Kluyveromyces lactis: one gene and its partner. The protein of the gene in region 2 interacts with the protein of the main gene of each other region in a pairwise test. Links are inferred from orthologs where the notes say so. Each region holds a gene or a part of one and is shown on either strand. Other genes may lie near its edges.

The links. The genes of interacting proteins can lie anywhere in the genome.
Region 1: the proteins of SLA1 (region 2) and ECM25 interact in binary tests that used the Saccharomyces cerevisiae proteins (3 or more experiments, as listed by UniProt). The link is inferred for Kluyveromyces lactis from reciprocal best matches to the Saccharomyces cerevisiae genes SLA1 and ECM25.

The regions. Positions count from the first base shown.
Region 1 is NC_006039.1:299,072-304,497, reverse strand, and holds ECM25 (Ecm25p), read right to left. Parts: upstream 2,820-5,426; coding exon 1,077-2,819; downstream 1-1,076. Other genes in the region: Ras family guanine nucleotide exchange factor BUD5, read right to left, coding at 1-759; PRP21 (Prp21p), read right to left, coding at 3,936-5,093; RCY1 (Rcy1p), read left to right, coding at 5,170-5,426. UniProt on the Saccharomyces cerevisiae protein: May be involved in cell wall organization and biogenesis.
Region 2 is NC_006037.1:445,377-452,159, forward strand, and holds the start of SLA1 (cytoskeletal protein-binding protein SLA1), read right to left. Parts: upstream 3,412-6,783; coding exon 1-3,411. Other genes in the region: 2-hydroxy-palmitic acid dioxygenase MPO1, read right to left, coding at 4,214-4,735; SCL1 (proteasome core particle subunit alpha 1), read left to right, coding at 5,022-5,762; LDB7 (Ldb7p), read right to left, coding at 6,104-6,550. UniProt on the Saccharomyces cerevisiae protein: Component of the PAN1 actin cytoskeleton-regulatory complex required for the internalization of endosomes during actin-coupled endocytosis. The complex links the site of endocytosis to the cell membrane-associated actin cytoskeleton.

The DNA.
Region 1 (5,426 bases), on a different chromosome or scaffold from region 2:
AACATTGAAAGAATGGACGGCAATGATAAACAAATACGCAAGATTTTCTTCCGAGAGGGAAAAACCGGGAGACTTTCTCTCGGTATGTCTTGGATTGATACAGTGCTCCCGCCCCTCCGTTGAGGGAGGGGTAGTTGTTATAGTGTCGCCAGCCGATATCAGGGTACCATTATGGGCAAACTTTCCATAGGAGTCAAATGTAAACTCATGAGTGGTATCACCTTCTTCGGTGTCACTAACTGTTTGATTTACATCGTAGCTGAACTCTGGCGTGTGATTGGAGTGCGTCAAGCCTAGCCCCTTAATGGGATTAGGTGAGTTACTCAATTCTTCTTCAGGTGGCACTAATTCAAATTTGCTTGCCTTTGGGGTCGTAACATCTATGAATGTGGACTCCTTTACCACTGGGGTCACATCAACATCATGAAGTTGTTCTTTGCTTTTAGTGAATACTGTGAAAGGATGACTTTGTTGAAAGCTTAGATCATTCTGGAGTTGTGCTTCGCGGGAATTTGCAGTGAGAAAAGTGTCATTCGAAGTATAGGTGTTAGTGGACTGTATAGAAACATGTTTACTATCGTTCGTTAGTCTTTGGGCGATTGTGGAAATTCTAATTGCTTGAGAAGACGTCCTTTTTTGAGCTTTTATTATTGACATTCTCAGATCCAATGGTTGAGTAGGAGAAATATTTAGTTCAACTTCATTGTCCTCGGTTAAAAATGACTGTCGCCCAAACAATGGAGTTGTGTTATAGCTCATCTTGCCAACTTGTTTACTAGAAAAAAAAGAATTGGCAACAATAGTCGAAGAGATGATCAGCTATATGAAAACACTTGTATGTGTCCCTTTGAAGAGTCAATGTTTACTTAATTGCTGGCTTCACGAAAGGGTGTATATACAGTACTTTTAAGTAACAGATCAGGTTCTTTTCCTATTCGGTCATGTTAGCATGCCGATTCTGATTTTGGTGGCCTCGAACCTTGACATGGAAACCAAACTAACTTTGGCGTTTTTCGTCACTCACTATATACGTTTTGATGTTTTTTTAAAGAGAGTTCCCTATATGGAAATTGGTTCTATTTAAGATCACTAATGGCCTGTAGACCTTGTAGACGCTCCTCATAAAGAGCTGCTAGCTTGCTCACCTTGCTACCCTTAGATATGTCTGCGTAACCTTCATTAGAAAATCTGGTAGCATTCGTTGATTTTTGCTGTATCATCTTTTTCTTTTTCATTTCTTTATCAAATGATTGAATCTTTGCATTCTTTTCAATAGTCAATTGATCTAAAAGGTCGGTTAATCCCACAATTTCATCCACTCCATTTGTATCAGCATCAGTGATAATGTCCTTACCCAAATGTCTTGTCGGAGAGCGTAGTCTGTCCCTCTGCATACTGCCATTACTGTCAAAAGAGTTTGTAGAGTCGTTTCTGGAGTCATTGATGAACGGAGATGGAGGTTCCAACGTTGGCACTTCTGTTAAATTAATAACAGGGAGAGCATTTGGTTCTTGTAAAACATTGGACGATGAAGCTGATACGCCCAATTCTGTTGATGGAGGGGTATGTTTAACAGAGGAAGATCTTGGCCTAACAGCGGGCGTCGTTTCAGGTGGGGTTGGCGAAGTGATTGTGTATCTGGTTGGACTTGCTTTTCTGGGCTTGGGTAACTCAGGAGGAGTTATTGTCGTAGAAGATATTATTCTTGCCGGGAGAGCTGGAGCATTTTTCGAATCAAGTTCATCAATGACTAAATAGAACTGTGATAGTAGATTCCTAATGAAACGAGTACCAATCGACAATTTGTCGCTGCTCTTCATCGAAACTTTTTCTTTACATAAAGTTGGGGTCAAAGATTTACTCAATGTCTTCAGGTTATGCTTTGTTTCATCACTATTATCAAGGAAGTCAATGAAAAGAGGGAAAACTGCTCTTACCAAATCGTAATACCCATTATATTCTGTTATCGATTTGAAGGTTGTTTTCGTATACTCTAAGTCATCTGTCACTGGCAAGGGTATAAGGTCAAGGGGAATTAGTGGTTTGCTTTTATTTTTCAAAAAGTTTAAGAACACCGATCCCAGAGAATAGATATCCCATTGAGAGAGATCTACATAATGGTTTCTCTCTATCACATCCAGCAAAATGTTGATTTTTTTGTATGATCCGGGCTTTTGAAAAACGAGCTCAGATTTCGGACCTTCCACTTTTAGCCTCTTGAATATACGATCAAATATTAATTGTCTGTATTGTCTGTTCGCTATACTTCCAGGATTGACCGTATATTGATCTGGTATCGTTATTTTTTCATTAAATTGATAATCGTAGAGATAAACATTCAAGCTAATTCTTAGTAGAGTAATGTCTAAATGGTTTGCTAAAGCAGTTAATGAGGGTACGTGGATAACTGTATCTGTATTTGAATCTTTGTTGCTCAAATCTTTGATCCTCATTGCATTTTTCAATACTTGGAAAACAGTCTTTACAAAAAATGATTCATGAACCACTATCGTTTTCTGAATTAATGACCTCACATTTTTCGGTACCTTTGAATATAATTTGATGCCATAAACCCAGCTTATATCATTTGTGGTAAATCCCGAACTAAACACAACTAAGGAAAACGGTTCAGCAGGGAGTTTCGTCAATACTTTGTCCATTAATCCATCGATTAATAGCTCATAAACTTGCTTGTCATCAACCACATTGAAAGAGGGAAGATAAGTTGAGTCAAAGACATATATTGGATACTCAGATTCCGGATCTACTGAGTAGGATTTGTAAAAGATACTGTTAACATTGACATTGATTGGATCCATTCTTTAGGTTTATGACTACTGAATTGGTGGTTCTCCTATAATAGCTTATTGCAAATCTCCTAAATATGTCGAAAGATAGGGCCAAATTGTGAAAAAGGCGTCAAATAATAATCAATAATTGAACTGATATGCCTCATCAAGTGGCTATACCGGAACGTACATAATACTTGATAATTAGTCCGATGTCATTCGCTGAAAGAAACCTCGAAAATATCAAATATTTCATTACGATTTTATGACTTTTGGAAGTTGGTTTTTCAGATTTGACGATCAAATAGTAAAAAGGTAAACAAACATTAACTGCCGACAAACATCGACTCGAGGCAAGCTTAAAATTGGATAATTCATCTACTTAAACGGTGCGTTTAATGCTAAGTATCAAATACTTGGTAAATTGGGGCTGAGATCGTTGTATTTCTATGTGATTCATGATGTACCCAGGATGAGAGTGAACGCCTTCACTTATCGTTGTCAAGAATCTGGTTTAATATCGCAATAGGAAAAAAAATAAAGGGACTCCTCATAGGGGGCTCGAACCCCTGACATTTCGGTTCCTTGCAAGCGGTGCTTAAAAGCCGAACGCTCTACCAACTGAGCTAACAAGGACGAGTCTCTTCAGAATGCAGACGCATCCGAAATTCTGCTATATCGATGTAACGTTGTTTTTTAATCACTTTACTTTAAAATTCTTACTTACATAAAATGAATGTGGCTGGTATATTTATTATAAGCCTTGCACTAAATGTGCCAGTTGTACACTCCAAGTAGTTGGCAAATGTTATCTGGTAATTCTTAAGTGAATCTACGTTTTCTTTGGGTTCTGTGACAGATGTATATATATGTATGATAAGTTCGTCATGCTATAAATTGACACCTACAATAGTAGTTATCAGTAGATAATAACTTTGAAACCAAACTGGGTTACTGACGAATGTGTACGTTGCTTTATTTCATCATACGATAATGTTTTTGAATGTTTTTTTGTTATCGTATGTTATTTATTTAGTAACTCAGTTTGACCTTTGATTTTGAATTTGAAGTATGAAAGTGTAAATTATAATGAGACAAGAATAACGAAAATATAACAAATTAATACATACAGAGGCATACATACGTCTATATTTTCTGCCTTTTTACAGGGTTGGCGTTGTCTTGCGACACTATCCGCTTAATGTTTTCGTACACTTCTGATGTAGACAAATTAGTTAACTTATGTTTTGATTCATATTTGTCTCGTACTTCTTTGAACTCAGGATCGCTTAACAAGATTTTCAAGTGTGAATCAAAATCGGGTTCTGGGACCAATCTTCCTGTAATTGGACATTTGAGCATGTGTTCGCTGGTGTTGCTTAGTCCGCTTTTCTTTTTCAATCTAGTTTCACCCGCCTTTCTTATATTCATATTCTTTCTCTTTCTCTTTTGAGCTGCAGCACTGACATCTTCTGTTTTAAAAATGTCAACATCGTTGGTGAGCTTTGTTGCTTTCAATATATCGAAATTCAAGGCTTCTGGTAGCTGTTCTAAGTTTTCTTCTTCGCTAATAGTCACAGTTCCTACCAATTCAAATTTTTCCCATTCATAAGCCGAGAATCTTATTCTAGATGTTTTTATGTCTGCCTTCATCTTTTGTTTCAATTCATCCTGTAATTCCATATATTCTGCTTTCTGAAATGCCCTTCGGAGAATAGTTGATTGTAACGGCCCCTCCAATCGTACTATAGGCCCGTATTCCTCTGATAAAATCTGTTCGTATTGATTAATAAAATCAGTTAATACTGAGTTCAAAGAATGATCAAGCCGTAAAAATGCAAATCGAGGGTCTTCCGCATATCTTTCTCTTAGTTTCTCAAGGTAGTTAATATCATTATTGATAACACAAAAATGAGCCGCTGCTTTTATTAGTTCCAAGTCCTTTTGCCCTATATCATTTCGGTAAGTACTATAGACAAATGGATAGGGTTCACTCGGTTTACGATCCAGTTCATTCTTAGTAGACACCAGAGTATCCTGTCTTGATCTCTGATGCTCTAAAAGGAATGCATAATAGTCGTTGTACTTGTTGCCTGGTTGAGTGAATCCAATATCCTGGCTCTTTAACTTCTCTTCATATGTTGCACCGTTCCTTATAACATATTCAACCGTTTTCCATATGCTCCGCCTTTGTGATTCATCTGCCGGCACTTCTACCCCATCTGGAACAGACAGATAGTCAAAAGAGTCCATATTCAGACTTGTAGCTTGCGAAGTTTTACTGCCCTTGTCTGTCTCATTCATTTCATTTGTGCGTGCTTTACAATATTTCAAATGTTTCAATAGTTCTTATATTAGTTAGATAAATAATAATATTGATATGTTGAACAGAGAACAAATTGTGGATCTATCGAGGAAAACTAAAAGGAACATACAAATTAAGAGAACATTTCCAGAGGATGCTGACACATTGATGCCACTGGGTTTACGAGAGACATCATTATTAACTATGGATTCCGCTGTGACTTTTGCTGACATTCTTAAAGTGAGTAACATAGTCAAACAGATAGCCTTCAGTTTGAACACATCCGATTATTTATCATTCCAATGTCTCAACAGAAACTTGTACCATATACA
Region 2 (6,783 bases):
GAAGGAGAGCTGAGATTGTTGAAGAAGAGCGCCGCCAGTAAGTTGATTTCCGAGGCTTGGTTGGTTTTGCAAATTGATACCACCTGTAAATTGATTACCAAACGTTGTCTGGGGTTGTATGTTCATTTGATTGCCGGTAAATAGATTCCCAGAATTGAAGTTTGGCTGGATGTTCGCTCCACCTGTGAATTGGTTCCCAAAGGTAGTAGCCGGCTGTATATTCGCACCTCCTGTGAATTGGTTTCCGAAAGTGGTAGCAGGTTGTAGATTAGCACCTCCAGTAAATTGGTTTCCAAAAGTGGTGGAAGGCAGCAAATTAGCACCTCCAGTTAATTGATTACCAAATGTGTTAGTTGATTGCAATGGCATTGCACCGGGCATTTGCGTGTTGAAGGAAGTAGGAGGTAAGGCACCACCAGTCCTTTGTAAAGGCATTGCGCCTCCTGTGATACTTGAACCAAAGGTTGTAGCGGGGAATGCTGTTTGGGGTTGTACACCAAACGTCGTTTGTGGCATCAACCCTCCAGTGTTCGCTGGTATCAAACCGTTCGCAGTCTTTTGAACTGGCAAGACAGTACCTGTTGGTTGCATACCAAACGTTGTTTGAGGTGCAATCATACCTCCAGTCCTTTGCAGAGGTACTAGCCCCCCAGTCGGTTGGAATGGCATTAAACCGCCTGTTGCTACTGGCATCATAATGAATCCCCCTGTAGTAATAGGGATTAGATTATTACCACCAGTTTTGAATGGATCTAATGGAACCAAAGAAGTACCCGTCTTATTTGCTGACAGAGGGGTTTCTTCCTTTTTATTCGAACCGTTAGTGGTGACAGATTCTAGATGCTTGACATCTGGAGCTGGTGTTTCTTTCTTCTTCGGCTCTAAAGGTTGCAAATCAAGCAAATCTTGAAGTGACCCAGAGAAATCCTGAGCCTTGTTGGAGCTGTCGCTGGCTTTAGCAGCAGGTCTAACAGTCCATGCATCATCATCTCTATTCGATGAATTACTATCTGGTAATAGATTATGAGATACGCCTGCAGATGCGGGAGCACCTGTATGGTTAACCTTCAAGGATCCATCGGCTTCAGTAAACAATCCAGTTGATGGAGAAGCCTCCTTTGTTCTGCCAAACTTGTTATCTAGATACTTCATTACTCTTAAAATGTCACCTTCACGTAGACCTAAGTTTCTTAATAAAGAAGGCTCGATATCTGGCAAGATTTCTTCACTAATTTGCTCTCTTTCGAAATTAATGGTGTAGCGTTGACAATTGTTGACATCAACACCAGCATTCAAGAAAAATTCGAACCAATCGTATTCGGGATTCTTGGAGCTCTTTGTGACAGGGTGCGTTTTGCTTGCTTCACTGCCTGGTCTTGGTGGTTTCACAGGTGGCAGTTCTTTGTCTTGTGCACTCCTCAGCTTTTCTCTTTCGCTTTCCAAGAGATCTCTAGCCCTCTTTAACTCTTTAAGTTCTTGCTCTCTTAATTGTCTATCACGTTCTCTTTCTTCAAGTTCCCGTTCACGCTCCTTAGCCTTTCTTCTTCTTTCACGTTCTGCGTTTACTGCACTACTGTCATTATTTGAACTCTTGGGTTTATGTTTGAATTTCTCCATAGACATACCCGTCAATCTTTCCACATACAAAATATCATCTTCGGACAATTTGTCTGCAGCAACAGCAATTTTCACACCGTTCACCTTATGTAAGTTAACCTTCCCATCGACACAGCCCAAAAACTGTGCTTCAACTTTGAAAGTACCACTTCTGTCTACCCAAATTCTAACCTTTTTAGGATCAGGGAACTCTTTATCATCAGTTTTCTTCTTCTTGGAGAAAAAGCTCGAAGTTTTAGACTTTTTCTTCGATACATCTTGATCAGCATCCTCTTTCCAGCTGCCAACTAAATTTTGAGTAAAGTTAGAAGTGTTAGATCTGGATCTGGTCTTAGACTTACTCCTAGAAGGGCTTTCATCAGAAGGCCTTGATGAGCCTGATCCGCGTGTTTCGACAAATTGTGCGGGGACAATGCCTCTTTTACCTGTTTCTACAGATTCACACATATACCAGTCTTTCGAAGTCCTGTCATCTAAGATATTAATGTAGTCGCCTTCTTTAACGGTGAGTTCATCAGGAGAGTTAGCGAAAAAGTCATATACAGCTTTAGCTCTTTTCTTGGTCATGGCAGGCCTTGAAGCAGCTTCAACTTCACGTAACCCAACTGCTGTCTGGGCACCTTTAATCTCACCCAAGACGCCCATGATCTCGTTAGCCAGATCGTTAGAGCCAGTATGCAATTCCAAGTTAATGTAAGGGTTTTTAAATTCAAGAAATAGATGCTTTTTTTCATTGTTATAGTTGATCAAATCTTTAACTGCCCATTCTTGATCCACTTTTGTCTTTGCAGAGAAGAAATGAATACGTTCAGCAGAAACAGTCAACGTAGCTTTACATTTCTTACGACCATCAACCTCACTAACAGACCAAACATGTTCAGCGGTCGAGGCTGAAGGTCTTCCATTTCTAGATGGCAGTGGAGGTTGATCTTCCTCATCGTCATCGAAATCGTAATCACGCTCATCATCTGAATAATCTCTAGTTATTTGGGAAGTTCTATTATTGTCTCTTGGGTCATCACGATAACTTGTTTGGTGTTCAGTATTAGAAGGTCTTTGAGGCATTGCTGGAGGTTCTGCTACTGCTGACTCACGCTGGACTTCTGTGGTTGCCGTATCGTTTCTCTTTGGAGGTGGAGGGAGCAGTGAAACATCAACTGGCATAGTTGTATGAGACGCAACGCCTGCATTTGATGCTGGTGGTGGTGTCGATGTAGATGGAGCTCCTGGAGCATCTGCTGTACTTGCAGCGCCAGCAGGGGTAGATCCGCTTCTGAATGATGGTTGAGAATTGACTCTGTCCAACCTCTGAGGTGGAGCTGGAAGTTCAGAAAGGGGTAGAACAGCTGGGGCTTGGTGCTTAGACTGTGTAACTCCTGCAGCGGGACCTCCAGCTTGCTGCGATTGTTTTTCCACGTAATTACCTGGCACAAACCCAACCTCTGAATTCTTGGTATTCTTCACCAAGAACCAATCTGCATCCCTATCGTCATACAATTGGAACGTATCGTTTTCATGGAATACCAATTCCTCATTGGCATTCTGAACTTGTTCATAATCGTAAAGCGCAACTACACTCCCAATCACTGGAGCCTCTTCAATATATGTCTTGGGGACCAAACCTACGGGTTCATCCTGATCAGATCCGATAACTCTCTTCTTAACGGTCCACCAATCATCAATGCTAGATTTTTCTAAAAGATACAATAGATCACCCTCTTTGACAGTTAGTTCCTCATCTGTTTGCGCAGAATAATCGTAAAGCGCCTGGTAAACACCCAAAAACACCGTCATTGTAGGTATTTAAATGCGTCAGGAGCCAAGTAAAAGGACCTATAAGCTTCCAGATTGTATACAAGGCCAAGAGGATCCCTATACAAATCGCCAATCAAATTTAATTATCCAAACTAAATTGAAATCAAAAACTAAAAGAATGCAGGAATACGAGACACTTCCTTTTTGTCGTCTCTTTTCGGTATTATGCTATTTCCTTTTATTTCTCCGTTTTGATTGGTTTTTTTTTTTCTCTTTTGCACAATTGCAATGCAACTCGCGCACTCTATCTAAACCTCAAGAGTTTGTCTGGCCTTTCTAACCCAATTCAAGCTAAAACTTGTTTATACGAATTACTTATATATGTATAGACATATATATATTTATATATGTTCTAAGTATATTGATAGACTTATTCAATTATTTTGGGCCTAATCTTTTCTCATTTTCTGATTCTCTCATTTTCACTCAGAAAAAGAACAAATGAAAATACCGACAGCACGCAGCACCGGTTCCTGGCAGTGTGGTACAAGAACCTGCAGTTTTCGAATTGTTTTTCTGTGATCCTTTGGTTACCCGGGGTTGTGTTTCGTACATGATGATACGGTGATCCCGGATCTGGAAATAAAAAGGGGTTCTTGCCCAGTTCTAGTCATGTGACTGCGAATCGCAGAGATCTGATAGAAAGAAGAAAAAAAAGAGATCATTTCTATATCACGTGATTGATGTTTCAATTCCATCATGGGTTCAAGTATCGTTATTGTCATCATCATAGAAGTCATAAATAGAGCATATATACTGTTTAGGCGAACGGAGGTTAAGTTTATTTACTCGCTCTCATACGATCTAGCTCTTTGTCAACACGAGCTTGTAGATTCTTCTTAAGTTCAGGCATGAACCCTAAAATAAATAGTAATTCGTAAAGGATGAAGTATGGCGCTAGCACAAGACTTTGCACCAAGTTATCGAGAAGCGCAGGTTTGCGCTTCTCGAAAACACCGTGGCCAATGAACTGGAAGATCCAACTGATCACAAATAATATCCAGGCAGTGGTCTGTGTCATCTTAATAGTCCCGTCGTTCAAAAATTTGCACGTCAGTGCCAATATCAACGACGCAAGGATTCCGGTACCTACTCGTAACAGTATATAGAACAACCCAAATGACAACGCTAACAAATGAGTCAAGGTATAGCCATTCCAGATCTTAACGTCGTTCAATATACGCATGGATGTAAAGAGAATCGTTGGGACAAAAATGCTATGAATTAACACATTCCCAGTATTGTTATGATAAGCTTTGTAGAACGCTAGTTGCGTCTCTAGATCTAGAAGACTGGGACTCATTCTGAGACTTGGTAGCGCAAAACCGTAACACGGATGCTTTGCTTGTGTTTTTTGATGTTGCTGTTTTTTTTCTTATTGATTGCATTATCTCAGTTGTCTTCCCCTTCCTTAATATTTCATTTCAATTTTAACTCTAATTTCAACTTTTAAATAATTTTGGTGGCAAACACATCAACGCACTACAGTTACCTTTACCAAGATATACGAAGAACCTGGCAACTCATTGATCTTCCTGTAACTACTGAATCTCAATCGTCAATTGGGAATCCCTATAACCACATATCCTATGTCTGCTGCAGGTTACGATCGTCACATTACTATTTTCTCTCCAGAAGGTCGTCTTTACCAAGTCGAGTATGCCTTCAAAGCGGCCAATCAACCTAATCTAAACTCAATAGCCATCAGGTCCAAGACCGCCTCTGTGGTAATTAGCCAGAAGAAAGTCCCAGATAAGCTTTTAGATCCTAAGACGGTTAGCTATATTTTCCCAGTGGCAAGACATATCGGGTTCTGTGCCACAGGACCGGTTCCAGATGCCAGAAATATTGCATTGAGATGTAAAGCCGAAGCTAGTGAGTTTCGTTATAAATATGGGTATGATATCCCATGCTCCGTACTAGCTAAAAGAATGGCCAATTTGTCGCAAATATACACACAAAGAGCTTACATGAGACCATTAGGGATTATTTTGACTTTTATTTCGTACGATGAGGAAACAGGACCTGCTATTTTCAAATGTGACCCTGCTGGTTACTATACGGGGTACAAGGCTACTGCCACTGGCCCAAAACAGCAGGAGTTGAACTCTGCTTTGGAGAAGCATTTCAAGAAGTTAAAGGACGATAAAATCGATGAGGAAAGTTGGGAAAAAACCGTTGAGTTCGGTATCACTACCCTAATTGACTCATTAGGAACAGATTTCAGCAAAAATGATCTAGAAGTTGGTGTAGCGATTAAGGATAAATTCTTTACGCTAACAGCTGATGAAATTGAGGAAAGATTGGTCTCTATTGCTGAACAAGATTAAGGTAGAAAATTTCTTTCCCCCTCATATAAATATATAATTCAAAACAATATCACTTATTGTAGTTCCAACATCAAATCTCATACAAGCTACTCTTGAATGTTGAGGTATTTGAAATCATTCAGCGACTAATGGTTCAATAAATGTTACAATTTTCAGCTATACATATAAAAGTATATATGTATATATAGGTATTTGGAGAATCTTCTTAAAAGAGTTCATAGTCTAAAATTCGTATGGCCACAAGCATCAGCTGTCAGTATCGTGTTCAGTTCACTTCCCTTGCCTATCAAATAACATCATCATGACAAGTCAGTTACCGCCTCTCTAAATCAGTATGGATATTAATTCCTATAGTGTTTTTGTTTGTGTGGGGCAGCTCCATATGGGTTACCACCACCCATTATGGGTAGATCAATGGCAGGTACCATGCTTACACGTTCTAAGGCCTTTCTTCCCTCTTCAAATTGCCTCTTCCTAAAGTACGCTGCAAATTCGTTGGCCGATAAAGACTCTAATTTCGATTTTGGCACGTATGGACCAAGCAATTGGTGGTCCCAATGATACTCTGCAAATGCAGCTGCTTCTGCCTGCTTAGGTGAGAGTGGACCTAAGTATTCATGAACTGGCACACGTCTTCCTTCAACTGTATCCTTAGGTTTCAACTCGTCTCTATCTTTCCTCTGTTGTATTTCCTCTTCCACTAGAAAGGCTAGTTGGTTTTTAGTGAAAGAAACTTGTTCTGCACCATCTAAAGTATCCAGTGTGCATATAGCATCGTAGTAACCCATGATTTTAATCGTCCTATTGTAGATGAATACTGATATGAATATATATCAATCTTGAATCTGTGATCTGCCTTTGACCTTTATTCATCATGTATTTTCAGCTGTATGTTAAATCGACAAAAAGTCGAATTTTCATTATGGTGCACATAAACCACCACATAGTAAAGAGGAACGTCAGTTGACAGAAGTAGTAAGAATATACACAAAAGTTATCTTTTGAAACTGTAGATAAAAGT